Arabidopsis thaliana: one gene and its partners. The protein of the gene in region 1 purifies or fractionates together with the protein of each later gene. This does not show direct contact. Each region holds a gene or a part of one and is shown in the gene's direction. Other genes may lie near its edges.

What was found.
Region 2: the proteins of VAMP721 (region 1) and SYP111 purify together in Arabidopsis thaliana (affinity purification with western blotting; one study listed by BioGRID). This does not show direct contact.
Region 3: the proteins of VAMP721 (region 1) and NPSN11 purify together in Arabidopsis thaliana (affinity purification with western blotting; one study listed by BioGRID). This does not show direct contact.

Annotation. Positions count from the first base shown.
Region 1 is NC_003070.9:1,331,878-1,335,633, reverse strand, and holds the start of VAMP721 (vesicle-associated membrane protein 721), read left to right. Parts: upstream 1-1,982; 5' UTR 1,983-2,207; coding exon 2,208-2,397; exon of another isoform or gene 2,398-2,903; coding exon 2,904-3,045; intron 3,046-3,124; coding exon 3,125-3,245; intron 3,246-3,434; coding exon 3,435-3,497; intron 3,498-3,633; coding exon 3,634-3,756. Other genes in the region: VAMP726 (vesicle-associated membrane protein 726), read right to left, coding at 1-71, 161-302, 685-874. UniProt on the Arabidopsis thaliana protein: Involved in the targeting and/or fusion of transport vesicles to their target membrane.
Region 2 is NC_003070.9:2,709,253-2,713,008, reverse strand, and holds SYP111 (syntaxin of plants 111), read left to right. Parts: upstream 1-2,008; 5' UTR 2,009-2,199; intron 2,200-2,289; 5' UTR 2,290-2,298; coding exon 2,299-3,231; 3' UTR 3,232-3,484; downstream 3,485-3,756. Other genes in the region: NPQ1 (non-photochemical quenching 1), read right to left, coding at 3,622-3,756. UniProt on the Arabidopsis thaliana protein: Involved in cytokinesis. Acts as a cell plate-specific syntaxin, required for the fusion of vesicles at the plane of cell division.
Region 3 is NC_003071.7:14,828,929-14,832,684, forward strand, and holds the start of NPSN11 (Putative plant snare 11), read left to right. Parts: upstream 1-1,697; 5' UTR 1,698-2,158; coding exon 2,159-2,235; intron 2,236-2,328; coding exon 2,329-2,421; intron 2,422-2,495; coding exon 2,496-2,627; intron 2,628-2,704; coding exon 2,705-2,799; intron 2,800-2,923; coding exon 2,924-3,003; intron 3,004-3,154; coding exon 3,155-3,211; intron 3,212-3,343; coding exon 3,344-3,436; intron 3,437-3,539; coding exon 3,540-3,614; intron 3,615-3,756. Other genes in the region: AT2G35170 (Histone H3 K4-specific methyltransferase SET7/9 family protein), read left to right, coding at 161-419, 504-677. UniProt on the Arabidopsis thaliana protein: t-SNARE involved in diverse vesicle trafficking and membrane fusion processes, including cell plate formation.

The DNA of each region.
Region 1 (3,756 bases):
TAACTTTGGAAAGTTTGCTAATCTCCTCAGGATGATCCGCACAGTACTGCATGTGCTCCTTCAATTTAGACCTACATTCATTACAACAAAACCATTTAAAACACACATCCACAAAGATGGAATTGAAAAGAAATGCTCTGACTAAAAATGTTAAAAGTACCCGAATTCTTTGTTCAAGCTGTTGGCTTTAGCAGTGGAAGCTTTTCCACCACCGTATCTCTTGTTGAAATCCTCCTTGACTCTCTCCAAGAAAGCCATTGGTATCTGCCTCCCAGCAGATTCAATAACAACAACACAATAGGCTGCATAACAACAGAGGGAAATGAGAAATCTTATTGTCACATTCCAACTAAAGCAAATTCGTGCATTGGACAACCAAAGCTTTCCAAACATAAAAATCTTCACAATAAACATTCCAAAGAAGCCATGCATAAAGCTGATTAAAATCAGAACGAAAACAACAGATTGCATATCCAATCAAGACATGGCATTGATTAGAAGAAAATCTGAATATAACACAATGCCACAAGAATCGAGAGCAACGAATATCCTACGAAATTCAAAGCTACACTGTTCTCGAACATTTGATTTCGAAACTAAGCATTCATAAGAAAACAGATGAACCAAGGCATAAACAGAGAAATACAGAGCAAAATCGACACAGATCGGGAGATAGAGACTTACTGAAGCCATTATCAGCGAGATAATTGAAAGTGTGACCGTCGCAATTGTAGGTAAATTTGTTGTTCGAGGACGGAAGTTTCTGGAGACACTGAGCGGCGACGGAGGTGAAATTGCCCTTGAACTCGGTATACTCGGCGAGGATCACCGTACCGCGAGCGACGAAGCTGTAGATCAACGATTGTTGTCCCATTCTTCCTTTTATCCAGATGAGAGAAAGATAAAAAAACGAAACCTAAGAACACCACAAAAATCCGATCGAATTGATGAGAGAGATTAGTAAGCGATGTAAAAATACACAAGGGAACGAGGGGTAGCGATGGAGAAAGCAGGACGCAGAGATCGGAGAAGAGAAACTATATGAGAGCGCTGGATTTGCGCGAGTAACAGAGACATTATTTTCCCTTTGGTAACGTTCAAATTTTGAATTTTTAAATATAAAAAGTAAATAAAAAGAAAAATTCATCATTTGTATAGTCGAAAATTGCCTTAATAAACTTTATTTTGGTAAATAATTCACGTCTAATTAATAATAGTATCTTCATGTTTTTACACCACGGTGGCTCGTTTTTCAATTCAAATGTGAAATGTTTATCAATGAGCATTTTAAAAAACAAATATATATATATATATATATATTATATATTGATTTTTTATAAAGAAAATTGCGATGTGTAAGGGATATTTGAGTTGTTAAATTTTCTATAAATTATATGTTATGTTACTTAAAAGAACGTTCAATTGATAATGTTGCAAACCTTCCTACCAAAAAAATTAAAATAATGTTGCAAACCTTTTCTTTCATTCCAATTCACTAACCTTCTATTCTAACCACAACCTAACTACCTAAATTTCAATTATTTGATTGTTGATCAAAATCTTTAGGAACACGTTAAACAAATTAATTAGCAGGTTCTAAACAATGCAGAGCAATTGTAGATGACAAGAGATAACGGTAGAAGTTCGAATTTTGTTGCTGTAACAAGATACTATGACTATGAGCTCCCCCCGTCCATTAAGAATTAAGAAATTTGGTTAATTACAACATTTGTTTTTATGTTTAAGCCTTTTGTTCGTAACTGAGCTAATACTGGAATCACTGATCAATGATGAATTTGGAAAAAAAGATATTTTGAGGAAGACAGAGACAGACTCTCTTCGACCATGGGACCTGAACTTGTCCTAAAGTTGGTAATTACTAATTTGTGCCATCGGCAGAGTCCACGAGCTTTTTGGCTGGATCCGGGCGGGTCCAACTTTCTCGACATTTGTTTGATCTCTCCGTTTTGAAATTGTTTTTTTTTAGTCCTTAAATTCAAGGTTTTATACTATTTTTGACCCAATCTGACTACCTTAAATGACAACTTTACCCTTGCCCGCTTTTCAACTTTTTCTTCTCCCATGTCCACTTTAGTCCTCGTTTTGTTCTTTCATAGTCTTCTAGATCTGTAGTTTTTTTCCGCGACCGCCCAAAAAATTCTCTGATCAGACGGTCGATTGGATCGGAGATTTAAGGTAAAGAAAAAATGGCGCAACAATCGTTGATCTACAGTTTCGTAGCTCGCGGCACGGTGATCCTCGTTGAGTTCACTGATTTCAAAGGTAATTTCACCTCAATCGCTGCTCAGTGCCTCCAGAAGCTTCCGTCTTCGAACAACAAGTTCACCTACAACTGCGACGGTCATACCTTCAATTACCTTGTCGAAGATGGATTCAGTAAGTCACTTTTCGTTTGATCTATGCATAGGTTTTAATCTTACACCATTCGGTGCTTACCTCGATTTGTTTCTAGGTTTATTTGCCTAACCTATCGATTCGTATGGATTTGTGCATCCTGAGTAGTCTGATTTCACTGAGGAACCGCATGAACCAAGCTTTTAGGGTTAGATCTATATTTATTAAACGCAATAAATCTCTGTAGAGTCTTACCTGTATAATCACTCAGATTTGGACAGAATCCGTGGTAGCTTTGGTTGATACTATGTGGAAGAACACCAACATTGATCTGAGACAGGGTTTTTACTGGTTGCTTTATTTGCGTATAGTTTCCTAGGTCATGGGTTTTGGCTGGCTTCATTTTTCAATGAAAATCTGGGGTCTTATTGTAAGCTTTTGTGACTATCCTTTAGTTGTTGTAGCCATATCAATTTCATATTAAATCAATGTCACCTGATTATCCCGTAAGGGAAGACAAGGAGATTGATTTTGTTCCTGTTGTACAGCCTATTGTGTTGTTGCGGTTGATTCTGCTGGGAGGCAAATTCCCATGTCCTTTTTGGAAAGAGTAAAAGAAGATTTTAACAAGCGATATGGTGGTGGAAAGGCTGCAACTGCTCAAGCAAACAGCTTGAATAAGGAGTTTGGGTACTTTTTCATTATCTCTTCTATTTGGATGATCTTCTCTTTTATATTCGTGGACTGACTCTTTTTGGTAACTTTGAAGCTCTAAACTGAAAGAGCATATGCAGTATTGCATGGATCATCCTGATGAGATTAGCAAGCTTGCTAAGGTGAAGGCGCAAGTGTCAGAAGTTAAGGGTGTAATGATGGAAAACATTGAGAAGGTTTGAATCTGACCCTTTCTGTCCTCAATGTATATATTTACATCTATGGTTGACCCATCTGAAAGAGCTCATCTAGTCATACTAAGTTACTGTGAAATCAATTACTAATAATTCAATGCATTACATCTTACGGGAAATGTCCAGTTTACCAATGTAACACCGCTTACATATGCGACTCATTATTTGCAGGTTCTTGACCGTGGTGAGAAAATTGAGCTTTTGGTGGACAAAACCGAAAATCTTCGCTCACAGGTTAGACTCTCTCATACCCTTATCTCCTGCATCTATTTGCCTACACTCACACACAAAGATGAACATGCTTTTTGAGTTCATAGCTGACTCATCCTATTACCATATCTTGTGTCTAACTGAACTCAAACTGCCACAGGCACAAGATTTCAGAACAACAGGAACGCAGATGAGAAGAAAGATGTGGCTTCAGAACATGAAGATAAAACTCATAGTGCTCGCCATCATTATCGCACTGATTCTCATCATCGTGCTCTCAGTT
Region 2 (3,756 bases), 1.4 Mb from region 1:
GAAGAAAAAGAAAAAGTTCTCACAGAGACGACGTGTCTTCTCAGCAATCTTTAGTCGCCAGCGAAGTTTCGCTTTCTTTCTCAGGAAAAATTAGCTTCACGAGAAAATTTATAATCGAAAAAAAAAAGTTTAAAGGAAAGAGAAAAAGGCCTCAAGGTTAGACATTTCTGGACAGGAAACTGTTTTCTTTTTCGTTAAGTGATCTTGACCGTCCATTTTGGATTTGGAATTTTAAGATCTAACGGTGGATTAGTGATTATCAGGTTTAGTCGGTCAGAAGAAAACTAATAAATGGATAAGGTTCATGACTTCTCGCAGATATAAAGGAACAAGTATAGGAAATTTTCTCATGACTTTGAATACATTTAAATGGATATGTTTGGTTTTTTACCATGCTTTTATCTGAATACAGAGTTTTAACTATGTTAAGTGGATATATATTATTTTGAAGAGTATGTTTAGCCAATTTAAGTAACGAATTTTAAATTTACCTATATTAATATTAAACAAATGGATTATATAGGTCATGAACCAAACAATTTTGAGAAAAATAAATGATACAGTTTCATCCTCAAACATTTATCAATCAAGTAAACAACAAATTAGGCGATGAACCACCAAAATGAAAGATTATTACTTTATTAGTCATCTGCAATCAACTAGTGAAGGATTTTACTACCAAACAAAAGAAAAAAAAGTAGTGATGGATAAATGGATTTGGATTTTAAGGAAGATAGTTTGCCAACACATCACCCACGTGGGTCTCACTCTCTCCACCACAACTCTCTCCTTTAACCTTTTTTATGAACTTTATATTATTGGAGATTTGCAATTGCCACCTCTTTAACAAAATAATTGGAGATTGCCCTTTTTAGTTTTTTGGTTTACATCTAACCCCCTCAATTCCACATTGCACAAGTTTTCGATCGATTCACGACAATAAGTAGAACAAACGTAACAAATGTGACTAGAGTTGAACAGCCAAAACAATCGAAGCAACTTTATTTTAATGTAAAACAAGCGTTATGTAATATTTTTTTGGGCGGCAAACAAATTTACTATATTTAATTACAAAAACAGAATAATTTTTTAATTAGAAAACAAAAAGTTTAAACAAAACAAATGTGACGAATGTAGAATAGACAAAACAATCCTAACAAATTTGTTTTAATGTAAAACAAGCGTTACGTAATCTATATATTTTTGTCGGTAAACTAATACTATTTTATAACCATGAAACGTTACAAAATTTAGTACATACTAACGTTATAGTAATGTAGTGACACAGTTTTTAAAAACATTTTTCAAGCATTACAGAATAAATATTGAATTGCGACTACAATAAATATTATTAAATTATTTTTTTATTCGAATATCATAAGGAATTTAATGTGATTAGTCAAAATTTTGGGTATTATTAAGTTTATAGAGATATGATGTACATTTTATTTAAAATTTGTCTACGATATTGAAACAATTTTGAAAATATTACAAGAAAAATAAAAACTGATTTCAAGTTTAGAGACCAACAAGCTAGTGGAGATGTTTTATTGGAGAGTCGTTTACATACGAAATTAGAATTAAAATATTATATATTTGAAAATATCCTAATAATTTGAATGGTTCAACTAAGGTGTATCGTAACAAAAGAAACTATACCATAAGTTTTCCAACATAAAAAACAAAACACAAGAACCACAATTTTTGTATAAATGGTGACAAATGTGCAGCTAAGAACACCTCTTCTTTGCTTTCGTAAATCGTCACCAATGATGATTTGTCGACAAAAGCGATGTCATACACATAATTACAATTTAGTCCCTATATTTTCTTCTCAGTTTCGATATCTTTAAAGCTGTCTCAATCACACACGTCGGCACTAAAACATACATCTAATTACAATTTAGTCCCTATATTATTTTAAAGTTTCGAAAGAAATTCACATGAATTTAAAAATAGATTTGAAGAAACAGAAACAGATAGACAAATGGACGACAACGGATACATCGCCAAAATATAGCCGTTGGGGCGAAGAAATCACAGTAACGGCTAATTTCTCCTTTTTCTTATATTAGAAAGAAAGCTTTCTCTCATCTCACAAATCGCTAATCAAATTCTATAGTAAGCTTTACTTCACACTACTCTCTCACTTTCTGGGCAGAAACTTTGTGGATCTAGAAGAACACACTAATCAGAAGAGTATGTTGTATTTTCTTTGATTTTCTCTTGTTTGATTCTGTTACAATCACTGCGATTCTCTCTGATTCTTGTAAAATTGTTGACTTTCAGGTGAAAAAGATGAACGACTTGATGACGAAATCGTTTATGAGTTACGTTGACTTGAAAAAAGCAGCGATGAAGGATATGGAAGCAGGACCTGACTTTGATCTTGAGATGGCTTCTACGAAAGCAGACAAGATGGATGAGAATCTGTCATCTTTCTTAGAAGAAGCAGAGTATGTGAAAGCAGAGATGGGTTTGATTAGTGAGACGCTGGCTCGGATCGAACAGTACCATGAAGAGAGTAAAGGTGTTCACAAGGCAGAGTCTGTGAAGTCTCTTCGTAACAAGATCTCTAACGAGATTGTGTCTGGTTTGAGGAAGGCGAAATCGATTAAGTCGAAGCTGGAAGAGATGGATAAAGCCAACAAGGAGATTAAAAGGCTCTCTGGGACTCCGGTTTATAGGAGCAGAACCGCTGTGACTAATGGGCTGAGGAAGAAACTTAAGGAAGTGATGATGGAGTTTCAGGGGCTGAGGCAAAAGATGATGAGTGAGTACAAGGAGACTGTTGAGAGAAGGTACTTCACTGTCACTGGAGAACATGCTAATGATGAGATGATTGAGAAGATCATCACTGATAACGCTGGAGGTGAAGAGTTTCTCACGCGAGCAATTCAGGAACATGGTAAAGGAAAGGTCTTGGAAACTGTGGTTGAGATTCAAGACAGGTATGATGCAGCAAAGGAGATTGAGAAGAGTCTGTTGGAGCTTCACCAAGTGTTTCTTGATATGGCTGTGATGGTTGAATCGCAAGGTGAACAGATGGACGAGATCGAGCATCATGTGATTAATGCGAGCCATTACGTGGCTGATGGAGCTAATGAGCTGAAGACTGCAAAGAGTCATCAGAGAAACAGCAGAAAATGGATGTGCATTGGTATCATTGTGCTGCTTTTGATCATTCTCATTGTTGTCATCCCCATCATTACCAGTTTCAGCTCTTCTTGAGATACTGGCTATGTTCACTCCTTTTGTTTTGTTTCGCTCTTCTTTGTACCAATGGATGTCTTAATCCTTTTGTGTTCTTCAAGGATGTCTTAATCCTTTCGTGTCTTGTATCCAATTTCAATGAAATGGTGAATGTTTACAAAGATACCCAGTTGACTTAATCCTCTTGATCATTCTAAATGTTGTCATCCCCATTGTTAACACTTTCAGCTCTTCTTGAGGTACTATGTTTACCAATCGTTGTTTGTTTCGCTCAAAGGATGTTTAATCCTTGTGTTTTCTGTATCCAATTGTTATGGAATGATGATGACTGTGTACAAAAATATTACTTTATATGAACCGAACACAGTATGTATAATATAGTTTGTACAACAATGGTGGTTCTTGTTTCTACCTGACCTTCCTGATTGGCAAAGCTTTCCCAAACAATTTTTCAACCTCACTTGCTTCCATTTTGATCTCATCCAAAAACTCCATCTCTTCTTTACTTAACTCTCTCACGAAATTCTCCTCGTCTTGCTTCAG
Region 3 (3,756 bases), on another chromosome or scaffold:
CTTATAAGCTAGTCTAGTGAACATCAAAGTTTAGGCTTTTGTGTTACTCTCAGTTAGCATTGATCTTAAGCAATTGCATGAAGCACTGGTGGTCCAGTATGCTTTAGCGGTACCATGGCTTTAAAACTACATTTAACTTGGAGTTATGCTGCTGTTGCAGAAATGGTGATGCGTATGCTGGGGAGTATTTTGCAGACAAGATGCATGGTTTTGGAGTGTATCACTTTGCGAACGGGCATAAGTATGAAGGAGCTTGGCACGAGGGAAGAAGGCAAGGGCTTGGTATGTATACTTTCAGGAATGGTGATACACAAGCCGGTCATTGGGAAGACGGTGTACTCAGTTGTCCTACCGAGCAGACTATCCGTCCTGGATCATCTTTTACCATAAGCCATTCCAAAGTTGTTGATGCTGTTGAGGTAAAAGTTAACTAGTAGTTTATCTTTAGTACTGCAAACACCATATATGTATTAAACTAAGCTTGTTCTCTCTTTCTCCTTCAGCAAGCAAGGAAAGCAGCTGAGAAAGCACATGAAGTTGTGAAAGTGGAAGAGAGGATCAAGAGAGCGGTGATGGCTGCAAATAGAGCAGCGAATGCAGCTAGAGTAGCAGCCGTGAAGGCTGTCCAATCCCAGACCTTTCACAGGAATGATGGCGATCTTGAAACCAATTGTTGAGCATAGGTTAGAAGAGATCTTCCTTAACAGGTTTTCTTGTTCCTTTATGAGCAAAGCTAGTTTGAAACTGTAGATAATAAACTAGAGATGATCTTTGTATATCAACAAGAAAAAAATTGGGTCTGCTTCATAGAATGCAACTGACATACATGTAGCCAAAAATCCCTATCTTGATTAAACAATTAGAAGAATCTGGTATATCAGTCTTATAACAAAAGATGAATCTGGTCTTGAAAAGTTGTGTATGAGTAGAAGAAGTCTAGCTCTCAGTTTGTTCTCTGAGCCTTCTGATGGTACTCCTAACAGTTACAGCACTAGCAGTATTCATCGTGTAGGCACCTCCAGCCTTAACTTTCCCACAGTCCTTACATCCCCAAATTCCAACAGCCTTCCGTTTAACAGCATACTTGCCACAGAACTAGCAGAAGTATTTGCTGTGCTGACTCACTTCCATCTTCTTGATTTGCTTCCTAAGACTGGCACCATATCTGGTCCCTTAACAGACAACATTTCAACAGATTCAGAAACAATGTAAAATGGGCTGAAAATCTGAAATCAAAAGAGGGATCTTATGATTCACACAGCAGACAACATCTCATGCTATGAAGCATTTATTTGAATGAACTAAAAGCAAGGATTTAGGCCGTTTTTATTTGGGCCAAGCTAGATGACATTATACACTTCCCTTAATTAGTTGAATTCGGTTTTTCTTAAGTACACTTTTTTTTTTTCTTTGTCCTAATTTTTCTTATTTTCAAATTTAGTTTGGATTTCGATTTTTGCATTTACCGGTTTGTATAATAAATAAACGATTCTAATTTAATGAAGGACTGAAAGTTTTGTTTCGTTTTCGAATTAATTATTATGATGTGCTCTTTATTTTAATTTCATTTAAAGTCAATTATCAAAATTAAGCTAATGTAAAGAGTGTGGATCGTCAGATCTGGAGAGGTGACCAATCGTACGTCCCAGGTTATATGAGTTCCAACACTGACAAACGATGTCGTGGCGGGTCCCACTGGTTTTCGGTAACGCAGTTTTTCAAAATCTCTCATTTTCGTCCCTTCGAGCCAAATCAATGGCAAAAAATTAGCTTTTAGAATTCCCCAAGAACAAAAACAAAAAATGTCCGAGAGAAATTAGGGAAAAACAAAACAAATAAAATCTGGGTGTAGGGGAGAGAGAGCTCGTGCTCGTGATTTTGATATCTATCTCTTCGTTATCGATTTTGAACATCCACATTGTTCTTAGATCTGAAGAAAAAAAACACGGGTTCTGTTATTACGATTTGCTCGGCGATTTTGACACCAGGCTTTCAATTCTTTTCGTTGGAGGTGATTCGATTTCAGATCCATCGGATCTAATCTCGGCGAGTCGATTCGTGGTCGACATTTTTCAAAAACTGCTCGCGTGGATCTGAAGAAGAGACATTGTTGTCTTTTGTATATCGGCACTGAATTTTTCTGGGAATCTGTGTAAAGATGGATCCAATATCAGCGGTTAGCGAAGAGCTGGCTGAGATCGAAGGACAAATCAATGACATCTTCCGTGCTTTATCGTGAGAATGAATCTCTCTCTAGCGTTTTCTCTCCATTTGTGATTTGGTATTTGTGTCTATATAATAATGTTTTGATGTTTTTGTTTTCTACAGAAATGGATTCCAGAAGCTGGAGAAGATCAAAGATGCTAATAGGCAGAGTAGGCAGCTGGAAGAACTCACTGACAAAATGCGTGACTGTAAGAGGTATACATTCATTGAATCTGGTGTTTGATTATCCAATGATGATGATGATGATGCCTTGTTCTTCTTCTTTGCAGCCTTATTAAAGATTTCGATAGGGAAATCAAAAGCTTGGAAAGCGGTAATGATGCCAGCACTAACCGGATGTTGAACGATAGACGACAATCTATGGTTAAGGAACTCAACTCATATGTTGCTCTTAAGAAGAAGTAGGTCACACTTTTGCTAATTGCTTAACTGATGCTCATATTTATGGTGATTGATGATAATGAGGATGGTTATACAGATACTCATCAAACCTAGCAAGCAATAACAAGCGAGTAGATCTTTTCGATGGACCTGGAGAAGAACACATGGAAGAAAATGTCTTATTAGCTTCAAGTAAGTCTTTAAATCTCGTATTTTGCGACCAACTAACAATGAGATAGATATTTATTGCACTTTGTTGTTATATGATTACATACAACCTAACTAGAGTATTTACTGGAAACTTAATAACTCTCAGACATGTCCAATCAAGAGTTAATGGATAAAGGAAACTCAATGATGGATGACACAGATCAAGCTATTGAGAGAGGGAAAAAGGTCCGTTTTCAGATTATATGAATGTCTTATTGTCTCTTGAAATTTCAGTCTAATGTTCATGGAGCCGTGAATGCCATGTGATAACTTGTGTCCATTTTTCCATCTTCACTAAAGCAAAATCTCACTGCTTTTTTTGTGTCTGTGACAACAGATTGTACAAGAAACTATAAATGTGGGAACAGATACTTCAGCAGCTCTCAAGGCTCAGGTGTGTAGTTAGCCCACACTTGTTTCTTTCCAAACAGTCCTGCTTCTACCTGAATCTCATTTTTTTCCAAGATTGTGTATTTGTGTGTGAATTCTGAGAATTATTAAGATAGTTTACATTTTCCTTGTTCAGACCGAGCAAATGAGTAGAGTTGTCAATGAGCTCGATTCTATTCATTTCTCACTCAAGAAAGCCTCCAAGCTGGTCAAGGAAATTGGTAGGCAGGTTAGTCTCATAAATCTCCTTATTTCTTCTTTATATCATCATTACTTGTTATCTGCAGCTCCTTCTTGTCCCTTTCACTTACTCTCTGTCCTTCTTTTATCAGGTTGCCACTGACAAATGTATTATGGCATTTCTTTTCCTTATCGTCATTGGTGTCATAGCAATCATCATCGTCAAGGTACATCTCATCTCCTTTCTTATTCAAATGTGCACACACACTTGGATACTTGTTTGAGTTAAATAGATTTCGGTGTTCATCATTATTTTTTCTTGAATAATATGAGGTTATGTTTTTTACTTTGCTGGATACCTTGTTGATC